Drosophila melanogaster: one gene and its partners. The protein of the gene in region 1 purifies or fractionates together with the protein of each later gene. This does not show direct contact. Each region holds a gene or a part of one and is shown in the gene's direction. Other genes may lie near its edges.

The links.
Region 2: the proteins of Tapdelta (region 1) and CG11857 purify together in Drosophila melanogaster (affinity purification with mass spectrometry, with the first as the bait; one large-scale study listed by BioGRID). This does not show direct contact.
Region 3: the proteins of Tapdelta (region 1) and Mcad purify together in Drosophila melanogaster (affinity purification with mass spectrometry, with the first as the bait; one large-scale study listed by BioGRID). This does not show direct contact.
Region 4: the proteins of Tapdelta (region 1) and CCT6 purify together in Drosophila melanogaster (affinity purification with mass spectrometry, with the first as the bait; one large-scale study listed by BioGRID). This does not show direct contact.

Annotation. Positions count from the first base shown.
Region 1 is NT_033778.4:11,369,235-11,373,363, reverse strand, and holds Tapdelta (Translocon-associated protein delta), read left to right. Parts: upstream 1-2,028; 5' UTR 2,029-2,351; coding exon 2,352-2,591; intron 2,592-2,650; coding exon 2,651-2,911; 3' UTR 2,912-3,064; downstream 3,065-4,129. Other genes in the region: CG13204 (uncharacterized protein), read right to left, coding at 3,128-4,129.
Region 2 is NT_033777.3:25,257,047-25,261,859, forward strand, and holds CG11857 (uncharacterized protein), read left to right. Parts: upstream 1-1,851; 5' UTR 1,852-2,317; coding exon 2,318-2,386; intron 2,387-2,447; coding exon 2,448-2,990; coding exon of another isoform or gene 2,991-3,176; 3' UTR 3,177-3,713; downstream 3,714-4,813. Other genes in the region: Nup358 (nucleoporin 358kD), read left to right, coding at 1-11, 76-1,083, 1,155-1,513; Kdsr (3-ketodihydrosphingosine reductase), read right to left, coding at 4,210-4,434, 4,499-4,813.
Region 3 is NT_037436.4:7,716,967-7,722,253, forward strand, and holds Mcad (Medium-chain acyl-CoA dehydrogenase), read left to right. Parts: upstream 1-2,383; 5' UTR 2,384-2,473; coding exon 2,474-2,491; intron 2,492-2,932; exon of another isoform or gene 2,933-3,093; coding exon 3,094-3,450; exon of another isoform or gene 3,451-3,510; coding exon 3,511-4,395; 3' UTR 4,396-4,506; downstream 4,507-5,287. Other genes in the region: CG7457 (uncharacterized protein), read right to left, coding at 4,932-5,287.
Region 4 is NC_004354.4:15,744,800-15,750,023, forward strand, and holds CCT6 (chaperonin containing TCP1 subunit 6), read left to right. Parts: upstream 1-1,848; 5' UTR 1,849-1,971; coding exon 1,972-2,108; intron 2,109-2,508; coding exon 2,509-3,973; 3' UTR 3,974-4,172; downstream 4,173-5,224. Other genes in the region: CG8944 (uncharacterized protein), read right to left, coding at 14-370, 521-1,243; Mvd (mevalonate diphosphate decarboxylase), read left to right, coding at 4,453-4,504, 4,566-4,636, 5,033-5,150, 5,211-5,224.

The DNA of each region.
Region 1 (4,129 bases):
AGTGATCTAGGAAAAATTAAAAAAGGTAATGTCCCTTACAAATGAGCTATTATACTCGATTAGTAAATGTATCCTGTTAATAATTGGTTCGTTTTTTATATGAAAAACTTTTAAAAACTTAGGTTTATTGTAATATTTATTTTTGCGAGTTGTTGAAAAACTCCCAAAATTAAAATATTGTAGAATATAGAACGCCAAAATTTGGCTTATACACAATCGCGCCTGCTTCTATGTTTGCAATCTAAGTACCAATTTCGTTTCCGGTCAGAGTGCACTTTATTTTGCCCAATGCATCCGTCGATCCACCTGCCAACCCCGGATCAACCCACTCCTCCCCCAAAGACACGTGCAATTCCGGTGGGTCTGGCAAGTTTTCGACTGCGACTCAATGAACCCGCACGAACTTTTGTTTTCATTTGCGAATCACCCACCGAACGCCTCTTAATCGAAAGGATTACGGCATTTTTGGCAAATATGCAAATCCGGCCATGAATGAATGAATAGTAGCCAAAAAAAAGAAGCAGGAAAAAGGCTGGCAGAGTGGTGAGAAGAGGGGAGGAGGAGGAAGGAGAAATGCGTACAAGTCGCTCAATGTCAGCAAAATGTTAGATGCAAATTCAGTTGTTGCCGGTATTAGTATGAGTATGAGTATCTGTATCTGCGGATGGGCAACCGGATGGGATGGCAAGTGAAAAACTTTCACATTTGTGACAATTTCAAATTCATCAAAGACATGCAAAGTTCGGTGGAAAAGTTCCGTGCGCGGTGGCAATCAAAGGAAAGTAACGAACATAGCAAAATGGAGCCGATTCGAACGGTGGCGGCAAACACAAACACAAAATGGCATAAAACCGTAAACAAAAAAAGCAAAACCAAATCAGGCCCACTTCAAGGTCACATCCGCATACATTCGTATGCCTGTTAGCCAAAGTATTTATACGATAGTATCCGATTTTCCGATTGCCAATAAAATGTACTTAAAACAAAGCTGAAAGCCCCATTCCAGTTGGATGGGCATTAATCACTGCCACCAGTCAATACTCGGTGCTTATGGCCCGACTTTGAAGACTCCCCCAACGATTGGACAGGACTCCCGTTTCCTCTGACACTGCTGCAATTCGAAATCAATTGCAATCGAAGTGCCATAAATATTGGACTTAGTCGTAACCGATCACAGAACGGTACCATAGCAAAACTGTCAGACGAAAACTTATTTTAATTAGAAATGCAGTCGGTACGAAATTACTGTGACTGGAACGGCCTGGACTTTATCTATTGACTTTAAATTAAATAGATACTTACATACATATTTTAAATGAAGTCAGCCCAACGTAAATGTATTGCAAAAGGAATCCCCTCAAAGACGTTTTAGACAAGGAACTTTGGGTATTTGCCTAAGTACAAATTAAGCCACCAATTTGATCAAAGTTCACTTTGATGTTTTTAATATCAGCGCAATAGCGATCTAAAGCAGAATCCTCCAAAGTGATGGATTGCATTCGGTACTCGATCATAGCTGAGCAATTTTTCCTTAAAACATTACAATTTTGTATAAATATAATTTAATAAGAATTTTAGTCTTTTAATCAAAGTAAGACTACAAAAATTTAACCTGTTGGTGAAGAATTCTATTTGTCATTATATTTTTATTTATAAATTTAATTTAATTTATTAATATTTAACTTTAATATAATTGTTTTTTATTTAAAATTCGATATTTTCAAATTATATATTTGAAATTGAAATCGCTAGAAATTGAATTGATATGGGAGGAAATTAAGTCTACATATCTCAATGCCCCTATAATTAGGAAAGATTTATTTTGACAGGACTGACATCATTAGTAATAACTTTATTCCAAATAAAATGAATCCCATATTTTTATATTTTTTATGTATACGCACTTATTTTTAATACTTGTATATACAAATTTTATATGAATTTTATAACATTTACGTATACGTACTAATTGCTATCATATTCGAACGACAAACATTCCCGGAGAAATCTTAACATATAGATGTCATTAGGAAACTACAAAAAACCGCTTTCTAAAACTGTATTTTTAGATATAACAAGTAAAAAATCGGAAAAATTTACCACGGGCTACTAGCTATTTTGTAGCTATTCTCGACTGAGCGTTGCCATCCCTGGTCACGACCAGTGTGACCATCGAACTGGTACGACTTCGGCAATTTTCGTAGCTGTCAAGTGACGTGACGTATGTATGGTGCTGTCGTGGCGTTCGCTTCCAGAGAGAAAGAAAGTCGCAGGTCGCCGAGTTGGATAGCCGTAGAGTTCCGCCTATTCCATTGATTACTAAATAAAAACCACCTCATAACTTGATCAAGATGTCCCGTCAACTGTTCGCCATTTGCCTGATTGCCGCCGTTTGTGCGTCCGGCGTCTACGGTAGCTGCAAGGCCACCGTGAGCTCTTTCAGCACCCAGGATGCCACGATTCTGACCCAGCTGGCCCATGTGGGCGAGTTCACGCTGCAGTGCAGCGGAGCCGCTCCCGCCAGCCTGTTCGCCGAGTTCCCCTGCGGCAAGGTGGTGCCGGTGGCCAAGGTGGGCGACAACAAGTACCAGGTGAGCCAGTAGTAGCCCCGTCAAGTTTTGTGCAAAGGCTAATCTCTGTTCTGCACTAGGTGAGCTGGGTGGAGGATATCAAGCAGGGCAGCAGCGGCAATGTTCAGGTGCGTCTCTTCGACGAGGATGGCTATGCCAATGTGCGCAAGGCCCAGCGGGATGGCGACAAGGTTTCATCGGTGAAGTCGCTGCTCGACATTTCCGTGCCCACCAAGGGTGCCTACAAGGGTCCCTGGATCAAGGCTGAGCTTTTGGCCGCCTTCTTGGTCGGCGGATTCGCATACTTCGCCTTCACCACCAAGGGCAAGGTGCAGTCCTAAGTAGAGGATGCCTTCGTCATCGAGATTTTGAATGAAATTCATTCGCACTAAAGTCATGTACCATCAAATTGCCGGGTCCCGGAGATTTTTCCACATTTTGTACACCTAAGCATCGGATCACCCGCCGCTCCAAAATAAACTGATTGAAAGACCAACCGAAGGAACCTAGTTGAGATTAATTTAATTTTAATTTAGAGATAACTTGTACGAATACGCTTAAACCTGGCCCGTGGAGGGCGCTCCATTCATGGTCGCCTCCTCGTCGGAGGAGATGTCTATCATGCTCTCCACACGCGACGGCGACATCACATACACAAAGTGCTCCGTGGAGCCCTCGGGGCCGACTGGCGGCGGGGGTATGACCACGGAGCCGTCCTGCGGCGGCGGTGGCGGAGTATCTATGCTGCAGTACTTGAGATTCCCAGCTCCTCCTCCGCCTGAATCATCCGGCGGTGGCGCTCCACCGTTGCAATCAAAGTTCTCCAGCTCTAGCTCCAAATCACTGACGATTCGCATGCAACGCATCTTGGCGAGCGACTGGAATTTCATGGGCATAGCTCGCACCTGCCGCGCCAGACTCAAGAAGAAAAGAGTGTTTGCGTCAAGTTCTCTGTTGGCCTGTAGCACGGCAGAGACGTCCCAATCGCTCGGAAAACGCGGATCGCAAATCTTACGCGTTTTGGCGGGCGACGGCTGTTGTTGCTGTTGAATTTGTGGCATTTGCATTGACTGCTGCTGCTGCGTTTGTACGGAATTCCCTCCGGAGCAACTTAGGTTGATGGCCGTGGTTTGCGGCGAAGGTTGTACCCTTCGCACCTTGGAGGCTGGTGGCGCTGGCGGCGGCGGCGGAGGAGTGGGATTACCCATGGGTAAGCTCGGGCAGCTGCCGTTCAAACGATTGGCGTTCTGCACTTGGTTGGCCAGGTTCTGGAACAATCCCAAAGGTGCTCCAGCTGCCGCAGCCGCTGTCAGTTCCTTCTTGAAGTTGTCCGCCGCCGCAAAGAGATGCGGCTCGATGATCAGACAACCGACATTGCTGTTGGTTGCGCTGCCGGTGCTGCAACCAGGCGGCGTGATCGTAGGTGGCAGGGGAAGACCAGCAGCCACTGCCGCCGCCTTGAGCGTGGCTAGCGGGAACATCTGCTGGGCCAGTCCGCTCACGCCCAAGCCCATGGGCAGATGGTTAGCCAGAGAGGCCAGGGCATTTGCATTGGCCTT
Region 2 (4,813 bases), on another chromosome or scaffold:
CGGTAGCACGGGTATGTATAATTCGACGTTGACCTCAAGATAAAAGGATCTAACCGCTTTTTATGTTCACTTCAGATAAATCGGAGCCTGGAAAGGATGCTGGCCCATTAGCTAATCTTCAAAAACTAGCATCAGGCGAAGGACAAGGAAACGTTTTGGGATCTATATTCCGTAGCGGCTCGTCAAACGAAAATTCGTCTGACGGTTCTGTCAAGTTCTTTTTCGGGGGTGGAAATAAAGCGGCTGAGCAACAGAAGAAAGATTCCTCAGAGTCTGTCTTCGGAGGCAATAAAGCGGATTCCCAATCGCCAGCGACCCAAGAAGCACCGAAGTTGGCCTTCGGTGGAATTGCCGCACCTGTGTTCGGAGACGCCAATCCTTTTGGAGGCCACAAAGTTAATTTGCAAAAATCAGATGGCAAGGAAGAACCAAAATCTATCATTGGCGGAACCCCATTGTTATTTGGAGGGTCCAACGCCTTTGGAATACCCAAAATTGAAACCCAGTCACCTGCTAAAGACTTTGTGTTTGGCAGTGCACCCGCTTTTGGACAAATGGCAACCTTCTCATTTACAGCTGCAAAAAATGAAAAGGAAAAGGACATAACCTCGAATAACACCACTGATCTTAAAGCCGAAGGCAAGGAAAAGAAGGAGTTGGTGCCGGAGACGACCAGCACATTTGCCGATTTGGCCAAGACAGGCAGCACGTTTGCAGATTTGGCAAGCAATCCGGGCGGCACTTTTGCGGACTTAGCGAACAAGACGGGCAACGACTTTGCCAACCTGTCGGCCAATAGCCAGGGCACTACCGTGGGATTCAACAAGTCCGCCGGGGGCGGCTTTTATAACCTCACGCATCAGAACGCTTTCAAGAACTTCGAGTCGCCGCAAGCCACAGAAGAGTGCGATGATGACGGCGACGCGACCACTGATGACAACTACGATCCGCACTATGATGCCATTGTAGAGCTGCCGGATGAGATAGTTGTCACCACGGGAGAGGAGAACGAGACTAAGCTGTTTGGCGAGCGGGCGAAGCTTTATCGCTATGACGCCGAATCGAAACAATGGAAGGAGCGAGGTAAGCTGTAGTAATAGTCCCTTTCTTATTCACACTAAAAGTTTTTATAAAACCAAAAAAAAAAAAAAAAGGTGTCGGTGAGATAAAGGTGCTGGAGCACCCGGAGCTGCAGACATTCCGACTGATCATGCGGCAGGAGCAGATCCACAAGCTGGTGCTTAACATGAATATCTCCGCCTCCCTGCAAATGGATTACATGAACGCGCAGATGAAGAGCTTCCTGTGGGCCGGCTACAACTACGCGGTGGACGCAGAGGGTAAAGTTGACACCGAGGGCGTCCTGGAACGCCTTGCCTGTCGATTCGCCAAGGAAGAGATCGCCAGTGAGTTCCTCAACACGGTCAATTCGTGCATAAAACGAGCCAAGGCCTTGCAAGGTGATGAGGAGAACAAGAATGACGACGCGCCGGAGGAGCAGGCGAGCTCATAAGCAAACCGGATCTAAATATATGTAGCATGTCTAGGATTGTGTTAGAATATTCATCCAAAACAGTAGCGACAATGGCTATTTCACATTTTGCTAATAAAATTTCGATAAACATTAATATTACATTTGAAATAAATTTGACTATTGAATAAAGCAATCGATATATTAGAGAGGAGACAAATTCGGACGTACAACCATATAGCACAAGGAAACTGGCTATGTTTTTATATATTAAATGTACCTCTACCTATTTTTAAAATATCGACAGCACTTAGATAAAAAATTAAAACAAACAATTACCTTTCGCGATAATCGCTCAACTCCCGATTGTTCCATCCCCAGCCGATAGTTTGACAGCCCTGCCACTGAGAGAGCATAATGACGTGGTGAACTCTGTGTGAAAAAAGAACAATAAATTGCCGACAAATCTCTAGTGTAATTAAATTAGTTACCGCATAGAAACGCACTAAACTGTGGCCAGAACTTTACGAATCCCGAATACTGTCTATATAGCAATCTCAGGAAACTGACAGTTGAAACAGCCCTACAACAAGGAGGAAGAAGAAGAAGGCGACGACGGGCGGTGCAGAATATGAATTAGAGAATAATTAGCGATTGAAGCGCGTCTAGTTTGCCAGTTGGCCCATTTCGTGTTTTGTTAGCCCCTTTCCGGCAGCCCCTGCCCCCGTCCCGGAAAATTTTGCAATTCCCGAATCGATACACGTGTGCAGCGAGAACAACGACAGCGTCAAAGTCAACAATAAAAGTCGAGGGCCGGAGATTAATGAGAGACTACCGACGACGACCATGATGAACGAGGACAGCAGTGCTGCCGGCGGCGGCGGGGTTAAGAAGTTCTTTCAGCGCCTCTCACAGGTAAGTAATTGTGGATAGCCCGTACGTGCCGGGAACTAACCCGCATCCTTTGCTTCCGCAGACCTACCAATCCGCCTTGGACCGTAGCACACCGCACACACGAATGCGCTGGGTGTTCGCCGGCTTTCTGCTCCTGCTCTTTGTGCTGCGCATCTTCATCTATCAGGGCTGGTACATCGTGTGCTATGCGCTTGGCATTTACCACTTGAACCTGTTTATCGCTTTTTTAACGCCCAAGATCGACCCGGAGTTCGATCCGTATTCGCAGGATGACGAGGACGAGGGACCCAATCTGCCAACTCGCAGCAACGAAGAGTTCCGGCCATTCATTCGCCGCCTGCCGGAGTTCAAGTTCTGGCTGTCGGTGGCGAAGAGCACGCTCATCGGTCTGATTTGTACGTTCTTCGATTTCTTCAACGTGCCGGTATTCTGGCCCATCCTGGTCATGTACTTTATCACGCTCTTCTGCATCACGATGAAGCGCCAGATCAAGCATATGATCAAGTACAAGTACTTGCCGTTTACCCGCAATAAACCGCGCTACCAGCGGGTGAATGATCTGGCGGGTTCCGGACCCGGTTCCGTGGCGGGCAACTCAAAGTGACAATTAGCCGCACAGACGTCGGACACGCGGGCGACGGCAGCGGGATCGGGTGATCCTTCAAATGCCTCTTCTGCAGCTGCAGCGCCACCATCACCAACCAGCGACAGCGCAGCGACCAAGGATGTGGGGTCGCCAACAGCATCGTCCATCAAACCACCGCAGATCATTGCCATTGAGGACTACTAGAGAAAGCTACCGAAAGCAGCCCGGAATGGGAACCAGCAGCATAACATCAACCAGAAACAAGCTTATAATATGATTTTCCTTTTCGGTTTGTGTAGCATTTTTCGTTTCACTGTTGAGTTGTCGTACGGCGTCTTGTGCAAAATACCTTGTTTATTGTTTAATCTAACTGCTTGTTTAAATTTATATTTATTTACAATGCTTTCTATCTATTGTAAATCCCAAACGATACCGAAATACTGCAGATCAGCTCTAATTTAGTTTTTCATCCTAATCCTAACAATAATTTAATAACTCTTCTATCCAAAAAGTAGACTTACTGTATTTGAATCCAATTATTTTTGATTATCGTGCTAAGATGCTATAATAATATGTCTAAATATATATACAAACATATATATATATATATTTTGCATTATGATTATACAATTTTTGTTAGCGTTAACTATACAGAATGTTAAAAAAAGGCGAATTGAAAACTGAAACTATAGGAAGTGTACACTGGGTGCGTCTTATGAATAAAGAAAGACAAAAGAAAACCAAATAATTTATCGTTGAATTTTGAACCATTTGGAAAAGGTTGATGGCTTTTGTGGCGTGGTTTTTGTATTTATCTAATCGCTTCTGCATGTAGTTTGCTGTTCGATTTTAAGATACGAAACCAATTTTGATTAGGCCAATGCGTGAAATTGCTTTAGCGATTAGCACAATCACTAAGTGGTTATTTAAAAACGACTCATTTTCTGAACAGTAAATACATTTTATTTTTGTTAAAACGAAGCACACACCAACAAAACGAGCACACGTCATCTAGTCTAGAAAACACGATACAAATAGTTAAAACCCTAGCACGGCAATAATAAAAAAGTTCAAATGCACATACAAATATATATATAAAAATGAATGATAATACGGGAATTGTAATATATGAATAGGCTAACCATGCAAAACAATCGCACATTTTGATTAATTATAAAAAAGTGATTTAATTATGGGCACTTGGGAATACTTTAAGGGCAGCGGGACAAGAGAGATTTCACTTGGACTCCACTTGCGATGTGGCCTTGGCCTTATCCTCTCGAGCGCATTTGCGTATAACACTATTGAAGTACTTGTGCAGAGCGTAGCTAACTATTCGCAGTGGTCCCAAAACTATGGCGTGCAGAAGATTGGTGAAGAAGCCATCCCAAGGAAGCAATGCTCCACCCAAAGTGGTGATCAGCCAGCTTTCTGCTCCAACAGTTGAGGTGAATTTTCCCTTCTACAAATAAGAAAAAGTATTCTAGTTAGATTGCGTGAATATTAACTATGGGTAACAGACTCACCAGGGCATCCTTAAGTATAGCTTTCGCCATAACTTCCGGCTCTATGAGACCTCCTCCACCAGAGATTATTTTGGTTTCCCTGGGCTTTGACTTCTCCTCCTCCTCGAATCCGGGTGTATTCGTATCGCAGGGCATGGCCAGAGTGACGCTGACCCCGTGCTCCCGAGACTCCATTGCAATCGTTTCAGCCATCGCTCTCAGGGCGTACTTGGTGGCTGAGTAAGGACCGTATCCATAGATGCCAAACATAGCCGCCTGTGAGGCAGTGATTACAATAATGCCGTCGCCGGCTTTCTTCATTTTGGGCAGGACATA
Region 3 (5,287 bases), on another chromosome or scaffold:
TCCCATAGAAAAACTAAAAGTCCTTTGATATCAAATTGAATTAAAAACTTAAGTTACTTTAACCAGTTGATATGTGACCTTAAAATGTACTTCAGCATGTACTTTCTAGAAGATGAAAAAGGGATATGCCAGGCCTAATTATAACCCAACAGATACATACCCAACGTTGGCTGACTTACAGCTTTAAACCTTTAAGTGGATAAACATGGATATCGTAGGATTGTGAAAACTTGTTAAAGTCATTTAAACTTTATGGACTGCAACCCACTCCTTAGGCAATTGGGTGTGACCTCTAACTTTGTCCCCTGGAGTTCTGATCACGTGACCATCTGTATTAAAGGGAACCAACCCATTCCCCAGATCCCAATCCAATGATGTAATCCTAGGCAGGACAACTCACCGCACTCTGGTGTCCTGTGGGGCAGTGCTCGTGCTTGTTGGGATGGTGGTGGGTCTGTTGCTTGTGGCTGGCACCACCGTTTGCTCCTTCATGGTGGAAGATCTGCTCGTGCTGATGCTGGAAGTACTCGTAGTGACCGACATGATCCGGATGGTGTTCCGTTGGCGGTGAATGGATCCTCGACGGTGGGCTGTGGTGCTGTCCCTTGGCGGCGTGGCCGGAGGTGGTGCTATGATGCGCTGCCTGCTTCTGTGAATGGCCACCTGCTCCTCCATGATGACCACCGCTGCTGGTATGATGACCATGTCCGTGGGCATGATGGTGATTGTGGGTTGGCGGCGAGGGCATGTTGTGGCCGCTGTGGGGCAGATGCGACGAGTGCTGCACACCCACCTGATGTCCGTGGTGGTGAGGAACATGACCTTGGGACGCCTCCATCAGCGTTGGCTGGATGTGGGTCACAAACTGGGCCATTTTGCCGCAACCTTCAACTACTGCTCCCTTTTTGTTGTGGTTTCTTTGAGGTTTGGGCTTAGGTAACACTTGTTTAAAATTTCACTCCTCTATGAGGCGGTTTTTTTTTTTGGGAAGGCGGGGGTGGCACTTTTATATGTATCCCAAAAGTGGGAGTGGGTAGCACAAAAAAACACACACTACGGCTGGCTTGCGGACGAGTTGTGGGCGACGGAGGATTTGGGCTCGGACCGTGGACAACCTTCTCGCAGGAGCAATGTCAAATGACTGACTAGGAGCAGCTATCCCAGTTGGGCCTTAGACGCCACAGGACTCGCCACCCGCCATCGCACCACCCGAACCACTTCGGCTCCAGCTCGGCTGTGCGCGTTCGTCCTCGTCGTGGCGGAAGAGCTTTAACCGGACCCAGTTTTATGCGCCTGGCCTGGCTGATAAGAGATACCACTCGCTTCAACGGCTGATTACGACTTTGGATGGCTGCGGATGCTGATTTAATGATGTCTTCGTGCCGCGCCACGTAGTGCTCTGTTTTTTATATCTGCCTGTCAACTGTGTCACGGATTTCCAATTCGTTTCGCTGGAGATTTTTTTGTCGCTGGGAGGCGGGGCTGCAATCTGTTATTTTTAAAACAGCCAGAGGAACATGTTCCGTCTATTTGTGTCAAGCGGGAAAGTATGCTCCGATTGTTAAGCACCTAACAGGTGGCAGCGAAGTCTAACGACTAGGGACTATCCTGTTGGTTCTTATTTTATTATTTAACATATCAAATCATGTTTTAAATGTTTTGAATATGGAAAAATGGGGTTAAAAAGTTAAAGCGAATGAAACCTATAATTATCTAATTGTCTCTACATTTTATTCTAAACTAACCAAAATATAGTATATTACTATTTAATATGAATTATCCCTCAATGACCTCTGCCGACGAACATTTTCAAGCCTAATATACCCGATTGTATTATTTTATACCTATTGCCCAGAAGCAATACGTTACGTTGTGAACTGAAAGCTTTTACCTTACGTAGATTGCTGGGCATTACGTTAAAGCTATGTTTTATTAAGCTTATTTCGTAGGGTATTTCGTGTGGTACATTGATATCTTAAAAAAGGGGGTGTGTCTCTTCATACACATATGCCTATGTACTTGACAAAACCTGGATGAAATGTACAGTTGGTATTTTAAAAATATTTTACAATACAATTTATTTATATAAGCATTATATTACAATTAAGGCGAGGTACAAACAAATTTGTTAACTCTTCGAAAAGCTTTGGGAAAGTTCCATCAACAGCGCATACAAATGTCTGCGAAATCTTCCCTTATCTCAACCTCCTGCATATATTTGTAGGTGCATATGCTTGTAGTTCGTTCGTCACCACGATTCTGTAGCTTTTGCGACTGCCAGCGCAACAAGGTCCAATGTCCAAGCGTCGCTGCCATATCGCGATGAACCAATGTACATATGTATGTACATATATAACATCGCTATACCGGCGCATCGGCAACTCGTTTGGATCATTTCGCTGGCAGCCACCGACGAGTTAGCAAGGCGACCTAGTTAAAACTCAGGAAAATACGAAAATAAACCCACATTCAAATGGCGTTCCTCAACAAGGTGAGCATATCAGTCAATTTACAACGCAGAGAAAGTGAAAAACACATCGCTGGGACATATCATATCCAAAGGTCCAAAGTTCTATCACGCTAGTGACGACAGCAACTGTTGATCGTAGGATCATACATACATATACATATGTACCTACCAACAAACATATATTCGAGTGGGTTCCGTTTCGAAAACAATTTGTTGCTGCCTATCTGTTAGCAATCATCTGTACTTTGCCCCCCCTGAGAAAGTATTATTAGCGGCGTCTAATGGCGGCTTATCGTGCACTCTATTTAAATCGGAATGCAAACTTTATGGGCAGGCATATTCGTTATCTGTTTTATGAAAAAAATAGAATGTGATGGTTGGTTATGAACCTCAAACATCCAAAGTCCCTTGTAAATATAAAAAAAACCTTCGTCTATGATCATGATGTTGTATTAATTAAATACATACGTAGTTGGCCCATTTTATTTGTTGCTTGTAGTTAAGATTAATTCGCGGTCAACTTTGTTGTTGTTCTGATTATTTCTACATTTTCATTTTGCATTTCGATAAACACTTGTTTACCAGTTGACTTTAAATCCGATATCCAATATCCGAAAATCCAGCTTGCTGCGCCTGCCCTGCGCCAGTTGGTGTCCCAAAGTCGCGCCTACGCCGCCGTGTCACACGTTTCGCCCAATGGCACCTCTTTCGCACTCACCGAGGATCAGCTGCAGCTGCAGGAACTGGCACGTAAGTTCACCCGTGAGGAGATCATCCCGGTGGCCGCCCAGTACGACAAGAGCGGCGAGTACCCGTGGCCCATCATCAAGAAGGCCTGGGAACTGGGCCTGATGAACAACCACATTCCTGCTGATATTGGTGGCCTGGATCTCGATGTGTTCACCACCTGCTTGTCGGCCGAGGAGTTGGCCTATGGCTGCACTGGCATCATGACCGCCTTAGAGGCTAGTGGTCTGGGCGTAAGTTTAAAGTCATGTCTATTTACGGCAAGATGATCGAAACGCCACGTTCTTTCATAGCAAACTCCTGTGATCCTGTCCGGTAACAAGGAACAGAAGAAAAAGTACCTGGGCCGCCTGCTGGAGGAGCCACTTGTCGCCGCCTATTGTGTTACAGAGCCCGGAGCAGGATCCGATGTGTCCGGCATCAAGACACGCGCCGAGAAGAAGGGTGATGAGTGGGTAATCAACGGCCAGAAGATGTGGATCACCAACGGTGGTGTGGCGAACTGGTACTTTGTGCTGGCCCGCACCAATCCGGATCCCAAGTGCCCGCCCAGCAAGGCCTTCACCGGGTTCATTGTGGAGCGCGACAGTCCCGGACTAACGCCCGGCCGCAAGGAGTTGAACATGGGACAGCGCGCCTCCGACACGCGTGGCATCACCTTCGAGGATGTGCGCGTGCCCAAGGAAAATGTGCTGATTGGCGAGGGTGCCGGTTTCAAAATTGCCATGGGCACCTTTGATAAGACGCGTCCTCCAGTTGCTGCCGGAGCTGTGGGTTTGGCCCAGCGTTGCTTGGATGAGGCTCTTAAATACGCGCTGGAACGCAAGACCTTTGGCGTGCCCATCGCTTACCACCAGGCTGTGCAGTTCATGCTGGCTGATATGGCCATCGGTGTGGAGACATCCCGTCTGGCGTGGCGTCTCTCCGCCTGGGAAATCGACCAGGGACGCCGCAACAGCTACTATGCCTCCATTGCCAAGTGCCATGCCGCCGATATGGCCAACAAGATTGCCTCCGATGCCGTCCAGATCTTTGGAGGCAACGGCTTCAACAGCGAGTATCCCGTGGAGAAGCTGATGCGTGATGCCAAGATCTACCAAATCTACGAAGGTACTTCTCAGATCCAGCGCCTCATCATTTCCCGAAACATGTACGAGGCTGCTAAGGGTCAAGCCTAAGTCAGTTTTAACTAGGATTCCTCATCTCCATTCACCTCATCAGTTGTCATGCTCATTGTAGACACATTCACAAATCCGATTAATAAAGTACAATAAGTAAATAATTACAAGAAAATATAAATCATTGATTGTGATTTGTCTGTTGAGGGAAATGTTGTATAAATGGCACTTGGTAATTTCTAAGGAATTACTTATTCCTCAAGTGTATAAAAGGAAGGAAGAAGTAAGCAAACAGTCAGTGCGTTAGTATGTTTACTAATTCTTAATATTTCAAGTTTCTCTAATCTTGCCCTCACTTACCCCCAAAATTGTAGAGTCTAGACCATCGCAAATTATTTCGCTAGCTATCATCCATTGATAAGATAAGCCCTGTGGGGGCTGAGTGTTTGTTCTACTTAGGTTCAACGAATCGCTGTTCTGCTATCAACTGAACGATAAGACTTACTGTACTTAGATTTGCTATATAATTGTCAAACAATAAAAAATGCTCTGGGACATACAACACAAGGAAATGGTTTACACATGATGAGACTACACTATTCCGCATCGCTTCCATCAGCGAGTAGCTTAAGTAGACCTTTGTACCGCCTTCCAATTTTCCGGCTATTTGATGTGGTCAACATTTTGGCCTTGTCTCCAAATTGCAGCTGCCAAATGGACTGAAGTGTTTCCAGGGCTCCTGGCATGGAGAACACCTGCTCATCAACTGTTAATTCTAAGCGCCTGGGCAGCTGCTTTAGTTGTTCGAGTTTTTGCAGACGAATGTCATCCAGTAGATTTGTACAATTAACGGCCAAAAGATCGCGTAATTGAGGTAGTTCATCTAATATGTATCCAAGAGTAGTTCCACTTAAATTGCTATTATCACTGATATCCAACATCTGTAGTTGTT
Region 4 (5,224 bases), on another chromosome or scaffold:
GGGAGCCACTAACCTTAACAACAGCATCGGACATCTTATCGTTGTAGCTGTATACCTCGTTGAGGAAGTGCAGCTCCTTGAAGTACCACAGCGTACTGATGTTGGTCTTCTCCAGAGCCATGCGATTGCACTCCCGCTTGTATACCGTGCGCAGGTTGTCCCACTTACGGGTGATGGCGTCCTTGGCCAGCGAGATGTTAAACCGGCTCTTGAACTCCAGCACAATCCAGTCGAGGAAGCGGGCGCGCTTAACGCGATCCCGGAACTGTGCATTGCCGTGGTCCCACAAAAAGGGGTTGCGCTGATACGAGTGGATGAGAAACTGGATCATCTTGCGGTCCTTGATGTGCATCGTAACCTCCCGGTCGCGCTAAGGGGTGGGAAAATGATAAAATCATTACAAATAGGTATATATGGATATTAGTGAAAATTAAGGGTGAAATAAATGTAGCTTTTAAATCGATGGGCGAAAATTTTAACAAAAATATCTGTATGTATATAGTATAAAAATATAACTTACTCCCAGCAGGGACTCCTCCACCATCTCATCATAGCTGAGAAAGTCCGATTCGGTTCCGAAACCACTGTGGTTAACGCCGTCGAATCCAGCAAAGTCCATGTACTCTCCGGAATTGTCGTCCATATAGCTGTGATCCGGATCACCGTAGTCGTCCATGGATGAATCGCCGTCACCGGCGATGAGAAGCTCGCTAGACATGTCCCTCTGGCGCTGCTTTGTGACCTTTTTGCGTGCCCGCGTCTTGGAACTGACCACCGGTACATCGCTTTCGGGTAATATGGCCTCGTCCTCATCGGCCTCGGAATCGTTCAGCCGTTGCTCATCGTCGTCTTCTTCGCCGGCGACCACATCATCATCGCTGCAGGGCAGATCCTGGAGCTCTTGTTTGATGACCATTTGGGGCTCCAGCAGCGCTGTGTCCGCGTCCGTTAAGTCTTCGATCTCGTGGAAGTTGGGCAGATCCCCATTACGACCGGACAGGGACATGGGCTCGCCGAGATTGAAGGGGAGACGGGAGGAGGTATTCGCCACGGACTGGTCGCCCAGGTGAACTGTCTGCATGTGGCCGATGAAGGAGTCGAAGTAGAGAAACTTCTCGCTGCAGAAGATGCAACGCAGGGCGAAGTACTGGAAGTCATCTGTGGCCGTCACCATGCCGCAGTCCTTGGTGCAGTGACGGAAAATCTCCTCGTCGTTGGTACGTGGATACGCCAGGACACTCATCGCGCCGCCTGCGGATCCTCGTCCTGTCCGGTTAACAATCAGAATTCAATTAAGTCTCTTGGTACTCTACGCTGCGGTCGGCGCACTCTAGTATTGTGCCTTATTTTGACTTGATTTTATCCCGATTTGGCCAATAAAAAAAAACTTTTTAGTGTTGGGGTTTGGGCGCACGGTTGCATTTCATTTGCTAATCGCCATCGGTGGTCGCAGGTGAGCCGATTAAATTGTGCGGCTTATTTTGCAGTGATTTAGCGGGAAATAGCCATTACTAGCGGGAAATATATTACCACCCTTAAGACCTTCTTTAATACTCATAATCATATAATCTTTGTAAATAACTTAGATATTAAGAATCGCTTAAATTGATACCGATTAAATTAAGTTGCCCAAGAAGGGTAATGGTACGCTAGTCAATAAAATAATTTCGTTTAATAAATTTAAATAAAAAAAAAGATATATATATGAAACATTTTTTAAATGTCATTTTGCATGTAAGCCACCACAACGAAAAATCTAATTAGAAATAAATAAAAGTGTTACAAATTGGAAGTGATTACAATACTATCGATTGTACTGCTTTGAAGTCTCTAGTTGTCTTTCCCCCATCTGGTCACACTTGCCATCTGATTTCTTCGATTCGCCTAACTTTAAGCGTGCTTGGATTTGTGCCGATTCCTATTGATTTATTTTGCCGAGCTAAGAAAATCTCTGTTTAATTGCGACACGCGATGGCTTCGATTAGCTTGCTGAACCCCAAGGCCGAGTTTGCCCGCGCCGCCCAGGCTCTGGCCATCAATATCAGTGCCGCCAAGGGACTGCAGGATGTGATGCGCACCAATTTGGGACCCAAGGGCACCGTTAAGATGTAAGTTACTAAAACCGGCCTCTAATATCCCTCACTTTGCGTTCCATTAGCAATTTGAGTGAGAATGCTAGTTTATAGGCGAAAAAACAAACGTTTTGGTCACAGCTGCGGCAACTGCAAGTTTGAGGTTAGACTGGAACTAGCGGCATGCGTCATCGCAAAAGAAAGAAAGAGAATGTTGCAACTCTGGAGCAAAAAGCTTAGAATTTAGGTGTTTTTATTTAATTTCAAAAAGAATCTTAAATGAAAGATGCCCCCAGAGGCTTTAATTTATTCATAAATGTGTGTTTACCTGCATATCCAGCACCGGGTGATTCAGAAAGTGGCATCGAAAGAGGCGTGACTTGACTCACGCGCCGTGAAAAGTGAAACAAGCATACTAATTCTAGAAACTTCGCAGGTTGGTTTCTGGCGCCGGCGACATCAAGATCACCAAGGATGGCAATGTCCTGCTGCACGAAATGCAGATCCAACATCCGACTGCCTCTATGATTGCCAGGGCCAGCACGGCCCAGGATGATTCCACCGGCGATGGAACCACCACCACTGTGATGCTTATTGGCGAGCTCCTGAAGCAGGCCGATATCTATCTGTCCGAGGGACTGCATCCTCGCATCATGACCGATGGATTCGAGAAGGCACGCGACAAGGCATTGGAGGTGCTCGACCAGGTCAAGGTGCCCGTGGAGATCAACAAGAAGAACCTGGTGGAGGTGGCCAACACAAGTCTGAAGACCAAGGTGCATCCCGCCCTTGCCGATCTGCTTACGGACGTCTGCGTGAATGCCGTGCTGACCATTGCCAGTGCCGATAAGACCAAGCCCGTGGACCTCCACATGGTGGAGCTGATGGAGATGCAGCACAAATCCGATACCGATACACAGCTGGTGCGTGGACTAGTCATGGACCATGGTGCTCGCCACCCGGACATGCCGAAGCGTTTGGAGAATGCCTACATCCTTACGGCCAATGTCTCGCTGGAGTACGAGAAGGCCGAGGTCAACTCTGGCTTCTTCTACAAGACCGCCGAGGAGCGTGAGGCCTTTGTGCGCGCCGAGCGCGAATTCATCGACCAGCGTGTGAAGAAGGTGATCGAATTGAAGCGCTCCGTGTGCGATGGCACCGACAAAACCTTCGTCCTGATCAACCAGAAGGGCATCGACCCCATCTCGCTGGACGCCCTGGCCAAGGAGGGCATCCTGGCCTTGCGTCGCGCCAAGCGCCGCAACATGGAGCGTCTGTCTTTGGCCTGCGGTGGCACTGCAATGAACTCCTTTGACGATCTGCAGGAGGAGCACTTGGGATACGCCGGTGTGGTGTACGAGCATGTTCTGGGCGAGAACAAGTACACTTTCGTTGAGGACTGCAAGAACCCGCTGTCCGTCACGATCCTGATCAAGGGTCCCAACAAGCACACGATCACCCAGATCAAGGACGCCATCAGGGACGGTCTGCGTGCCATCAACAACACCATTGCCGATAAGGCTCTGGTGCCCGGAGCTGGAGCATTCGAGGTGCGCGCGTACAACGAGCTGGTCGCCTTCAAGGACACCATCAAGGGCAAGTCCCGCCTGGCAGTGCAGGCCTTTGCCGATGCCCTGCTGGTCATTCCCAAGACGCTGGCCGTGAACAGCGGCTACGATGCCCAGGACACAATCGTCAAGCTGACTGTTGAGGATCGCCTGAGTCCCGAACTGGTCGGCCTGGATCTGGCCACCGGGGAGCCCATGAAGCCCGTGGATCTGGGCGTCTACGACAACTACATCGTTAAGAAGCAGATCCTCAACTCCTGTTCGATCATTGCCAGCAACCTGCTTCTCGTCGACGAGGTGATGCGTGCGGGCATGACGAGCCTCAAGGGCTAGTCCCCATCATTTCATCCGACCCATTCAATTTAACCAAGTTAATGCACCGCATGCTACTCAACCCGCGTCTCTCAAAGCCACACACAACCAAAAGAAAACTAAACACGTAAATAATTTGGAAACACATGAAATCGGAATGGTTGCGGCTGCAAGTATTCACATTTAAAATACAATTCTAATAAATACAAAAACCAAACACAGCTCTATGCTTAACGCTAATGTATTTTCTATTTTTATTAACACTAATGTTTACTCACTACAAACTTTCATTGGTTTAAAAATAAATGGAAATAGCGATTTAGCCGTGACTCAAACCTCAATATGGGCGGTAATTGGGGAATACCCACAACTACATTTTTTGGGGCCACATGGTATATTTGAAGAGTCCACTGGGTGGTCACACCGCAGTCAACAGTTGTCGCTTTCGCTGGAAAGCAGCTGAAAACAAGTGAATTTCTGAATTAAAAACATTTTCAAACATGTTTTCGGTTACTTGTGTGGCGCCCGTAAACATAGCGCTCATCAAATATTGTGGGTAAATTAATACATATATTATAAGCACATAAACTTATGCACATGCATTCCTTTAAAGGGGGAAAGCGGCACGAAGAGCTAATTCTGCCCGTCAATGATTCCATTAGCATGACTCTGAGCACCGATGAGGTAAATATGAAAGATATTTAAATATTTATTTGCGTTTTAAAACCAACAAATTGTAATTAAAAAATTAAAAAACCTTAGACGCTTTTAATAATGGTTTAAGTTTAAAGTGCGCGTAGTCGAAGTTTTCATTTTCTCACAAATGTAAATATTACGAAAACTTTCTATTTAATTTGGGAAGATCTCACGGATTTTCACTTTTCACCGATTCTCTCTCTTTCGATTTGTGTGGACACTGAATTTGCTTAAGATTAAAATGAAATTACTAACTTAAAAAAAATGGGTTTTTGAATATGGGTTGTTCGAAATCCTGTAATTTCTAACTTATTTTTTGAAATAGCAATCTATCGAGACTTTTAAAATCTTGAACAATTACCTTTCTTGATCCCATCTCCCAAGCTCTGCGCCAAGACAACAGTGACTGCATCGGAATCCTTTGAAACGAATCGCATGTGGCTGAATGGGGAGGAGGTGCCTTTTGAAGAGAGTTCCCGCCTGCAGCGCTGTTTGAATGAAGGCGAGTTTATAGTTATATATATAAAAGTATAGAACTTTAATGTAAAAAATGCACTTGCAGTTCATCGATTGGCT